Linked DNA regions of Saccharomyces cerevisiae S288C. The gene in region 2 interacts genetically with the main gene of each other region. Each region holds a gene or a part of one and is shown on either strand. Other genes may lie near its edges.

Region 1 (2,946 bases), on a different chromosome or scaffold from region 2:
ATTCAAGCAGGAACCCATTTCAAGGAAACACTGGGAATCATAGGCAATGTGTACAAACAAGAGGGTTTTAGAAGCTTGTTTAAGGGTTTGGGCCCCAATTTAGTCGGGGTTATTCCAGCAAGAAGTATTAATTTTTTTACCTATGGAACTACTAAAGATATGTATGCTAAAGCGTTCAATAATGGCCAAGAAACACCTATGATTCATCTGATGGCTGCTGCAACCGCAGGTTGGGCAACGGCGACGGCAACCAATCCTATTTGGTTGATTAAAACAAGAGTACAGCTTGATAAAGCTGGGAAAACATCGGTCCGACAGTACAAGAACTCTTGGGATTGCTTAAAAAGTGTTATAAGAAATGAGGGTTTCACTGGCTTGTACAAAGGGTTGAGTGCCTCTTATTTGGGTTCTGTTGAAGGTATACTTCAATGGCTATTATATGAACAAATGAAGAGGTTAATAAAGGAAAGGTCTATTGAGAAATTTGGATATCAAGCCGAAGGTACAAAAAGCACATCAGAGAAAGTCAAGGAGTGGTGTCAAAGATCAGGAAGCGCTGGTCTTGCAAAATTTGTGGCTAGTATAGCAACATATCCGCACGAAGTTGTCAGGACGAGATTGAGACAAACGCCCAAGGAAAATGGTAAACGAAAGTATACAGGTTTAGTACAAAGTTTCAAAGTTATAATTAAAGAAGAGGGACTCTTTTCAATGTATAGTGGGTTGACCCCGCATTTGATGAGAACAGTTCCGAACAGTATAATTATGTTTGGTACATGGGAAATTGTTATAAGGCTACTATCGTAGCCTTGAAATCTAAAAAACTCTAAATTCACTTTAGGGCCAAGACATACTCTAACAAAAAAGTATGAAAAAAGTGCATTTTGTAAGGATATAAAGCCTGTCAAAGTTTATAGAAAGCTAACCTACTAAGGTTTGGACCCCTTCGTTTCTTCTCCTTTACTTTGCATTATTTATCGTAACATATCAATGATCCTTATTTACTTCATTCAGTAAATTGGTCCTTTTATACTTGTAAATATTTTTACCAGGTCACTAGTAACAATAAAATGTTTTAAAATATCAGTAGCGTGAAGTAAAATTCAATTACTAGATGATGTTGAAGTAGATCCCGTAATAATGGGCTTTTCCCCTGTGAAGGTGAACTTTAGAACATCATCCACATTGAAAGGTTTCGAAGGTTTGCTATCTCGTACTAGAAGTGAAGCGTGTTCTTCGCTTAGGGATTCTTCATTTTTGAAATCGTGCTTTCCATATTCGTTTCTAAACGTAGTGCGCGCCCAATTCGTTATTTCTCTGTCCTGTTGCAGCAGCTTTTCTATTTCTTCATCCTTTAGCAAGGCTGTAGTTACTCCAGATGTTTCCCTAACATATTTCATCCATTCGTCCACTTCAGGAATATTCTTCTTCCTCAAAAGGGTAGTGACCAAACTTTCATGAGAGGTGGTTGGGAATTTAGGCAAAGGGTAAACCACTGTAGAGTCTAAAGTTTCTTGGAAATGTTGTAGAGTGGAGGTTACAGAAACGAGCTGGGATAATGTGACATTCAGTTGTGATTGGAGTGTATACCATTGTGGCAGTTCGGCTTTGGACATTTCGTCTCTGATTCTCCTCAATGAATGAGTTAATTGAGCCAAACGCATGCGCACGGCATCTAAAGCCTGGCCAGGTACACCATTGAAATCAAAACTAACATCTTCTTGGAGGGAGCCTTGATTGCCCTCTGGTACCAGTGATGCAGTAGATTGTGACATATTCCACGTTGCTTTATGTTTTTCTTTTGTTCTTCTTGCTCGGGGTTCTCTTATATCGATGAAATATTTCAATATTAAAATCCTTAACTTTGACGAAAAGGCAATTTTTGTATATTGAGTTTCCTTACTTTTTTGAACAGAACGTACTTTTAGACACTTTGCAAAGGCCTTCAGCAAATTTTTTTGATTATTTTCAAATATCAAGGAAATATATTACCTTCAAAGTCATCCAATCCTTTTAGTTCTCGCATTCCATCATTTTATACTATATACGTTTGAGCTTAATGGATCAAAAGAAGGACCCAAGTAATAACTTAACAGAAAGAAGGGTTTCCAAGGTCCAACGCCCAAATAAGAAAAAGGTACGAAATCAAGTTGAATCACTTTCTAGAAACCTAGAGAGAAATAAAGAGGGACAGCTTCTGCAGACTGTATCAAAAGGTCATTTAGAAGCTGATTCTGGACACTCACTGGGTCGTGAAAAAGAGAACGGTGAACTCGGTATAAGAAGTATATTTTACGATAAAGACTGGAATCCAAGAGGCACTGCACCATCACATTACAGAAATATACCTTATAATCCTGCCACTTTCAAAAGGCGAACTGAAGTTCAAGCCAGACTGGGAAACCTCGAGAATATCAAAATACCAAAGTGAAAGTTCAAAGGTAATAAATGAGCAACCACTTTCTTCGAAATACAATATTGAAATCAGCATGAAGTCTGAGCGTAGTGTTTATTGTAGCAAGTCTTGAGCATATTTTATAAACTCTATTTATGTTTGTATATTCGTCTATCAAATGGTTGAATATGTAATAGGGACAGGAGCCATTAGCATGCCTGGCTTCAAGGAACGTTTAGGTCACGAATGTCCAACAAGGTTTCCTGCAGGTTTCCATATGTGAACTGAATTATCATTTGCCACACTGCACATTAACCAAGGGTCATGAGCGTCCCACGAAATGTCGTTCACACCGAGCATATGACCACCATGGGTAAATATAGTTTCTTCGCAGGAGGTATCCCATAGCTTGACTAACCCATCTTCTTGGCCAGCCGTTGCCAATACAGTATCGAAATTTGGACTCCATTCTAAAGTTGAAACGGAAGTACCGTGCTCCATGGTAGCGATTGGGCTTTTGTTCATGTTTCTAATATCCCATAAATTTAGCC
Region 2 (2,833 bases):
AGGGGGCGTGGGACTGTATAAGAGTTCAAGTAGCAAGTTGATGAATAAACTAGGAAGACAAAAGACATGGATAAATGAGTTTGAACATTTTAATTCTCTGCACGAAATTGCATATACCCCTAACATTGCGTTAAGTAGTGAAATCCAAAAATATTTAAAGGCATTGGAAACAAACTATCGGTCCATCTATGAGAAAAGTTCAGAATTACTGGATAAGAAGCTGGAAGAAATTGACAAGAAATGGATAGAGAAAAACGGGTGTATACCTGATGCATCTAAAGACGATGTGGAGAAAAATCTAAGAAAGCAATATTTAGCAGATGTACAGGACGTAAAAAACGAACATATACCTGTGATGAATTGTGAACCTGGTGGGTCTCAGTTCAAGTATCTCTGTAAAACTATTGAGTTATTATCATCCAACAAGACAATTTGTTTTGCCATCGATGTAGAGGCATTTGAATTTGATACAGACATTGTTACAGAGATTGGCATCGCCATATATGATCCAAGAGAAAACATTTATTCCTTGATGCCGATTATAAGAAGTTATCATTTAATTGTTGCTGAAGCGTTACCGTTAAGAAACAAGAAATTCGTATGCGACTTTAAAGACTGCTTTTTACTTGGAGAAAGTCTTGTATTACCATTGGAACAATGTGTAGAGTTCATTCAGTCGTTGATTAATTTCTATATGAAATGTGAGACGGACCAAGATACAACCTGGGAAAGAGCGTTTGTGGGTCATGCTATAGCGGGGGATATTAAGTGGCTGAAGAAAATTGGGGTCCATGTACCTGAATTGGATAATGAACTTACCAAACCGGAGGACTCAACGGAGAGCAAAGGTGTTAGAAAACATGTTAAGATGCTTGACACAGAGAAAATTTATAGCATGTGTTATGGCAAGAAGGGTAGCAGTTTAGGTAAACTACTAAGGCTTTTTCACTTGCCACATGCCTTCTTACATAACGCAGGCAATGATGCATATTACACGTTGCTCCTGATGCTGAAGTTAGGAGATTATAACTTTAGAAAGCAAATTGGGGCAGATGATTTAGAAACAATGGGATATAGGATAAGAGAATGGTTTAAGCGTGAGGCGGACGAACCCAAAATTTTGCCAATGTCGTACGTGCTAAGTGTGATGAATGCCAATAATAGCAAACCGAAAGTTGATGATAAGGGAAGAAAGAAGCCGAGGGATCTTGTACCTCAGACGGAATTTAGCGGGTCTCATTGGTTTCAAAATGCACGCGCAGCCTTCAAAAGTACTCTTGTGTGAATCTAGCTAGAAGTTTTGTAGGTATATGTGATTTAAGATATAGATAATAAAAGATATATATATGTAAATATTATGAAGGGGATATTAGCGTAATTTAAACTATTGAAATACCGGCTTCAATATTTCAGCTAACTTGCCATTTTTCTTCAAAGTTTCCAAATCGCTGTTACCACCAATGTGCTTGCCATTGATGTATACGTTAGGTACAGTTTTTTGGCCCGAGATTTCTTCTAAAGCGTCTTGAATCTCTGAGCCATTGCTCATTTCATCTAATTCCAACACAAGGGCCTTGGATTTGGGAACGTTCAATTCTTGGAAGAGGGTAGACAAAGTAGCTTTACAGTAAGGGCAGTATGTCTTTGCTGCAACAAACACTTCCTTTTGGCCAATCAGATCCTTTACGTGAGCAACTGTTTCCTGGGATACCATTTTTGGAGTAGATAAAAATCTTTTAGCAATAATTCTTGTGGCAAACAACGTGATAATGATAATAACAATTAAATTCGAGTCGAAGGAAAAATTGGTCTCCATGAAACAATATATAACAGTAGTTGGAGTGTCCGTTAATCAAGAGGGCACCTTTTCTTGGCGTCCTGGGACTTTTTATATGAAAATTCATGAAGAAAGTGCGGCGGGCCCCTTTGCGAAGGGGGCCGAAATATCGGATCTTAGTAATAGTTCTGCTATTGGATGTGGTATTAGCATAAATCAAGAGGGAGGCGATGGTTCTATTAGGGTAAAAGAGAGCAGCTTGAGGAAGAAACAGGAAAGGATGAGTACAAAATATCCGACAACGATGAGTTGCCGAGAGGCATTTGATCAACTGACGAGTTGCTATTCGATTGGAGGGCAATTTAGAAGCTATTACAGATATGGAGATTTTACATCATGTGACAAGCAGGTGTCCAAATTCAAGTTTTGTATTATCCACGGCAATGACCCTGTGAAAGTGCAGGAATGGTATAAAGATCAGGTTTCCAACAATAAGGCATTGGAAAATACCAGTGGGGTTATATGGCAGGAGAGGGAGACCACTGCAAATAAGTGAGATTTTTAGCTTTTTTTTTTTAGCATGTGTACTATATAGTATATGGATTTCTTATTTACAAGCGCAATAAAAAGACGAACACTAATCCTTGTTGTTCCGCTTCACGTCCTTACTTGATTCTATTTCATTGTCTTGGTGAAGTTTCTGTGTTTCCTTCATCAATTCATACAGTTGAACTGTTTGCTCAGGGGATAGTTTCTCCAGGGTTTCCGAAGATAAAGTGGCATCTTTCCATTTACCGTTGGAAATCATGTGGAGATAATCTTGCCAGGAAGCTAAAAAGCCGACTATATGCAACGGGTTATCGATATCTTTGTGCAACTTGAACTCGTTTCGCACGTATTGGTCACCCATCTCCCTTTGGGGACCAGGTAGCAGCTTATGCTGCCTTAGTATCCTTCTGTAGAGAACCAAAGGTGGAAGTAAAAGCTGGCTGTTATGGGTTGCAAATCTAACCGAACGATATATGAGCTTGTTGTTCATGGTGAATGAAGACGGGA
Region 3 (2,306 bases), on a different chromosome or scaffold from region 2:
AAAGAAAATTGAAGAGCAGAGGGAAATATTGCAAAAGACTCATCACAAGAATCAACAGCAACAAGTGTTGATGGATTTTCTGAACGATGAAGGGAGCTCCAACTGGGTTGACGATGATGAAGAGGAGCTTATCCTTCAACGTTTGAAGACCTCTTTGAAAATATGATCCCTCCCATCACATGGACACTTTTAAGCACGTTTTGCTTGAAGAGACATTAGTTTACACCATTATAATTGTTTAATAAATACTAGACATACTTCAAGTGAGAAAATCAATCACACCTTTTTCAATGATTAGCAAATCTTTATTGCCAGGCCTAACTGAAACGATTTATTACTGCGCAAGAAAACAAAGATGGAAAAGGCTATGCTAGTTCGATTAGTTGTTTCCTTATTCTTTAGAATATTATATATGTATATATAAATAAATGGCTTTCATCTTATTTCGAATAAAAATGTTTTGGGTGATGTGTATTGAGCATACACACTTAATATCAAAGAACAATTATAAAGATGCTATGAACGGATGTTATTTTTACCTAACTATGCCTTCTTGGCTTTGATACCTCTAATAGCATTTGGAATGTATAGAAGTGGTGTAACGACGGCTACCGCAAAAATAGCATAAAATGGATACAGGTATAAAGCTGACCTTGGATGTCTCCACCATAGAGGTTTAGTGGAAGATTGGAAGATTTTCTGTAGTTGAATAACTTTATTAGCCATTATTTATTATTGTTTTGCTTTCTGTACTTGTTGGTTTAGAATCTTATATCGAGTTCTACTATTCATGGGATGAATAAATAATATCATCTTTTATTTCTATCCGCCTTTTCAAACCTGCCCCTACCAGGCCGGATTTCTCGGACGATGCGCGGCGTAGCCAATCAAGTACTGCCTTTTTTTTTTTTTGCTGACACTATATGTATACGTGCATATAATCAAACAATAAAGCAATTGTAAGCGTCAGCAATTCTAGCTGTACTAAGATCGTAGTGATTATATGCGCTTATATTTACATGGTATGAAGAATAAAATTTGAATAAATAAATAAACGTACTCTTTACGAGTACAAATCTCAAAACTAAAAGAAAAAAAGGGTTACATCTTGTTTCCAAATAGCGTCTATAGAAATGTAGGGTATAAGTTGATGCAAAGGTTTTTAGCGGTGTGTATGACACACAAATATTTACACGTGAGAGAAAGGAAGGTAAATAACTGAAAAGATTACTCCTCCTCCTTTTTATTCTCTTCAAAAAGCTTCATTTTCCTTTCATTTTGCTCCAACTTTAATAGTGAAATCTCTTCATCAAACCATTCTTTTAAGAAAAGTGTTAACTTTCTCATATTCTCAAGCCCCTGGTATTTATAGTCCACATATCTAAGTACTAACTCGTCAATGCGATCCTTTATCTCCTTGTTATCAATGGAAGCAGCAGTTGAAATGTAAGCAGGCCTTTTCTCAAAATATTTCATAAAGCCTTTGATTTGTCTAATGCAACCTGGAGTAATCAGGCTTGCCCTATGATTACAATTCCAGTCTTTTAAAATCCTACTAAACCGTTCGCTTTCATGCATTCTTGACGCCAACTTTAAAGATGTCATGTAATACATCATCCACTGTTTGTTATTTGAAGTATCCAAATTTTTTCTAGCTTGTGAAATTAGGTAACATGCATATTTGAAATCACGGGTGTGGAAACATATTTGAGTAAGTTGTAAATAGTTTTGAACTGAAAGCTCCTTTTGATGTACTCGTTCAAATTCCTTCAGTTTGAATTCCAGTTCTTTTAAATGTTCAGCAGACAACTTTTCAAAAGATCTATAATTAGAAATGATCTCCCATTTCAACCATAATATATCGACTTTTAGTGGGATATAGCGGAATCTGGTCCTTAATATCACATCAACTACACGTGCCAAACCAGTTAAAGAGTTTCTCAAGCATAATGCCAAAACGGAATACAAAAATGAAAATTGAGGCGCAATGCCCTCCTTCAAACTATTCGAAATCACCAATTCTGCTCCATATACATCATTGTGAGAAACTTTTTTCTTGAACTCTTCAAACCTTTCAAAATCAACCGCGTTGAAACCAGATAACGAAGAGTCTTCTCCTCCATTGATCTTTCTCGTATGGATATGGGCATTTTCTTGTAAAAATGTGTACACCCAAGTGAGACATTTGCTGTATTGGCTCCTTTTTAGAGTCACAAGTAGGTCATTTGTAATTTCTTTTGCCAGCATTGGATAAACATTTACGGCACATGACCATAATTGTTGAATAAATGCGGGCCGTAATCGCG
Region 4 (2,990 bases), on a different chromosome or scaffold from region 2:
TAGGAGGATTTAGTGAGCCCAGTGGGACCAAGAGCAAAGCGCAAGATCATGTCAGACCCTATCAGAACGAAACCCAAGTCGTCGATGCAAATCGACAACGCCCCTACGCCTCACAATACCCCAGCATCGGTTCTGAATCCGAGCTATTTGAAAAACGGCAACCCAGTTAGGGCCCAGGCACAGGAGCAGGATGACAAGATCGGCACCATCAACGAGGAGGACATCTTGGCTAACCAACCCCTGTTGTTACAGTCCATCCAGGACAGACTTGGCTCGCTGGTGGGCCAGGACAGCGGGTATGTGGGGGGTCTTCCCAAGAACGTTAAGGAAAAGCTGCTGAGCTTGAAGACTTTACAAAGCGAGCTATTCGAAGTTGAAAAGGAATTTCAGGTGGAGATGTTTGAGCTAGAGAACAAGTTTCTGCAGAAGTACAAGCCCATTTGGGAGCAGCGGTCCAGGATCATTTCAGGACAAGAGCAACCCAAGCCGGAACAGATCGCAAAGGGCCAAGAGATTGTGGAGTCACTCAATGAGACGGAGTTGTTGGTGGACGAAGAAGAGAAGGCCCAAAATGATTCCGAGGAGGAACAGGTGAAGGGAATTCCCTCATTCTGGCTAACCGCATTAGAGAACTTGCCCATCGTTTGCGACACGATCACTGACCGCGATGCGGAAGTTCTGGAGTACCTGCAAGATATTGGTCTGGAATACTTGACGGATGGTAGACCCGGTTTCAAGCTGTTGTTCAGATTTGATTCTTCCGCCAACCCATTCTTCACCAACGACATTCTGTGCAAGACCTACTTCTACCAGAAGGAGCTCGGTTACTCCGGGGACTTTATCTACGACCACGCAGAAGGCTGCGAGATCAGTTGGAAGGACAACGCCCACAACGTCACTGTGGACCTAGAAATGCGCAAGCAGAGAAACAAGACCACCAAGCAGGTGAGGACCATCGAGAAGATCACTCCCATAGAATCCTTTTTCAACTTCTTCGACCCTCCCAAGATCCAAAACGAAGACCAAGACGAGGAGTTGGAGGAAGACCTCGAGGAACGTCTAGCTTTAGACTACTCCATCGGGGAACAACTTAAGGACAAGCTAATTCCTAGAGCCGTGGACTGGTTTACCGGCGCAGCCTTGGAATTCGAGTTCGAGGAGGACGAAGAAGAAGCGGACGAGGACGAAGACGAAGAAGAAGATGATGATCACGGCTTGGAGGATGACGACGGGGAATCTGCCGAAGAGCAAGACGATTTTGCTGGCAGGCCGGAACAGGCTCCTGAATGCAAGCAGTCATAATCCCAACGCACTTCGCAAGAGTGGTCATAACCGTATTCATATATTTATATACATATGTATACATACATATATAGATATATATATGTATATACATGTAAGTGTGTAAGCTGAAATATATGTTAAAGCGCATGTAACTAAGACGACAATAATAATAATAATAATGATAATAATAGCCTAGATTTTCTCCGCCGTGGGGGATGATCGTATTCTTTCGGATTTAATAATATAGCAGCAAGGGTTATAAAAGGAAAGATAACGGAATGTATCGGTAATCATTAACCATCACTCACTCTCCAGAACCGTAGCGTAATTATGTCTGAATCATCTATTTCTTCTTCTAAACCATCTGTGGAATTGCCACAAGCAACCTGGTCGCATCTGCAAAGATACCCAGCTTTATCCAAGTTTATTAAATATGCGGAATCTCTGCCACCTGTGGAGAGATTGATTTCCTTCAACCTCGTTGTTTTGGGATCTGTGAACCAGTGGGTTTCCGAATCGTCCAGCTCTCCTCGTCTGGTGAAGCAAGTTGTTGCTGCTGGGAAGGAAGGGGCCTTCAAGTTGGACGAGTTAGTTAACCTCTTGGTGTTCAAGGAGGGTGTCGACGGCTTGCTGTACAATTGGAAATCACATTCCAACACGCCAGGGATCTGGCTGGTGTGGTTCTTCGTCGACTACGTCGCCAACATTTCTAATACTCTGTTGAGGGAGTTCCTGATCAAGCCATTGCACTTGCAAGGTTCTACCGCATCGAAGGAGATCGGCTCTTCCGGTGAGGAGAACAAGGTCACTGATGCTTCTTCTTTGCCCCACGTGGCAGAGTTGTCTTCAACGACCAGAGGTATGTCGCAGGAGATCCAGTCCAAGGTCAAGTCGAACTATATCGACCCAACCAAGGACCTGGCTAAAGAAAAGTACGACGCCATAGTGAAGCCCACAACTGACAAGTTGCAGTCTGTGTACATCGACCCAACAAAGACTAAGCTTAACGAAACCTACCAACGCTTCACCACTGTCTATGAAAACAATCTAAGTAAATCTGAAAGCGTCCCTAAAGCCATTGTATCCACCGGGTTGGACTTGGGCAATGCCACCATTGAGAAGCTAAAGGCCTCAAGAGAAGACCAAACCAATTCTAAGCCCGCGGCTGTGTCGACCAATTAGTAATTTGGTTTTGCGCTAATCGTGCGCCTGATTTTTTTTCCTGCCACTCTTATATAGTTATTTGTTATTATTCTATTATTTCATCTATTGTTTGCTAGCTATTATGTACGTTGCTGTTTGAGCACTATATACAATTGAATACCAAAGAAAAAATTATAAAAACGAAAAAAAAAAAAAAAAAAAAAAATTTGGTTATAGCTCGATCAAGAGACAATAAAAGTGAATATACATGGTGCCAAGGGAAAGTCCTAGCATGTCAAACAGTCATCATACATCCCAGGGAAGAAGAAACAAACTTTCAGTGTGGGTTAAAAAAATAATAAACACCACTACCACAACTAACGCATCGGTCTCGAGCAGTAAACCAAGACGCGGCACTAGGGCTGGCCCCACAAGAGTTAAGCGTGCTGAGTTGGATCCGGATGGAACAACCATCAGTTCGTCGTTGCGACCATTGGTTGATCGAAATTCGTTGCATTCGAGCGAATCCGATGACGAAGGAGACCGTCGAGTGGCATGGGATG

What was found.
Region 1: mutations in EMI1 (region 2) and AIM4 together harm fitness more than expected from each alone (negative genetic interaction), as found in Saccharomyces cerevisiae (2 studies listed by BioGRID).
Region 3: mutations in EMI1 (region 2) and COX7 together harm fitness more than expected from each alone (negative genetic interaction), as found in Saccharomyces cerevisiae (2 studies listed by BioGRID).
Region 4: mutations in EMI1 (region 2) and PLN1 together harm fitness more than expected from each alone (negative genetic interaction), as found in Saccharomyces cerevisiae (2 studies listed by BioGRID).

Annotation. Positions count from the first base shown.
Region 1 is NC_001134.8:607,979-610,924, forward strand, and holds AIM4 (Aim4p), read left to right. Parts: upstream 1-2,059; coding exon 2,060-2,431; downstream 2,432-2,946. Other genes in the region: RIM2 (Rim2p), read left to right, coding at 1-807; RNA polymerase II mediator complex subunit MED8, read right to left, coding at 1,104-1,775; MSI1 (Msi1p), read right to left, coding at 2,636-2,946.
Region 2 is NC_001136.10:1,470,000-1,472,832, reverse strand, and holds EMI1 (Emi1p), read left to right. Parts: upstream 1-1,769; coding exon 1,770-2,333; downstream 2,334-2,833. Other genes in the region: YDR514C (uncharacterized protein), read left to right, coding at 1-1,285; dithiol glutaredoxin GRX2, read right to left, coding at 1,385-1,816; SDH7 (Sdh7p), read right to left, coding at 2,415-2,816. UniProt on the Saccharomyces cerevisiae protein: Involved in sporulation. Required for the full activation of the early meiotic inducer IME1.
Region 3 is NC_001145.3:778,402-780,707, forward strand, and holds COX7 (cytochrome c oxidase subunit VII), read right to left. Parts: upstream 727-2,306; coding exon 544-726; downstream 1-543. Other genes in the region: GFD1 (Gfd1p), read left to right, coding at 1-166; PET111 (Pet111p), read right to left, coding at 1,228-2,306. UniProt on the Saccharomyces cerevisiae protein: Component of the cytochrome c oxidase, the last enzyme in the mitochondrial electron transport chain which drives oxidative phosphorylation.
Region 4 is NC_001143.9:523,699-526,688, reverse strand, and holds PLN1 (Pln1p), read left to right. Parts: upstream 1-1,614; coding exon 1,615-2,466; downstream 2,467-2,990. Other genes in the region: histone chaperone NAP1, read left to right, coding at 49-1,302; YKR045C (uncharacterized protein), read left to right, coding at 2,720-2,990.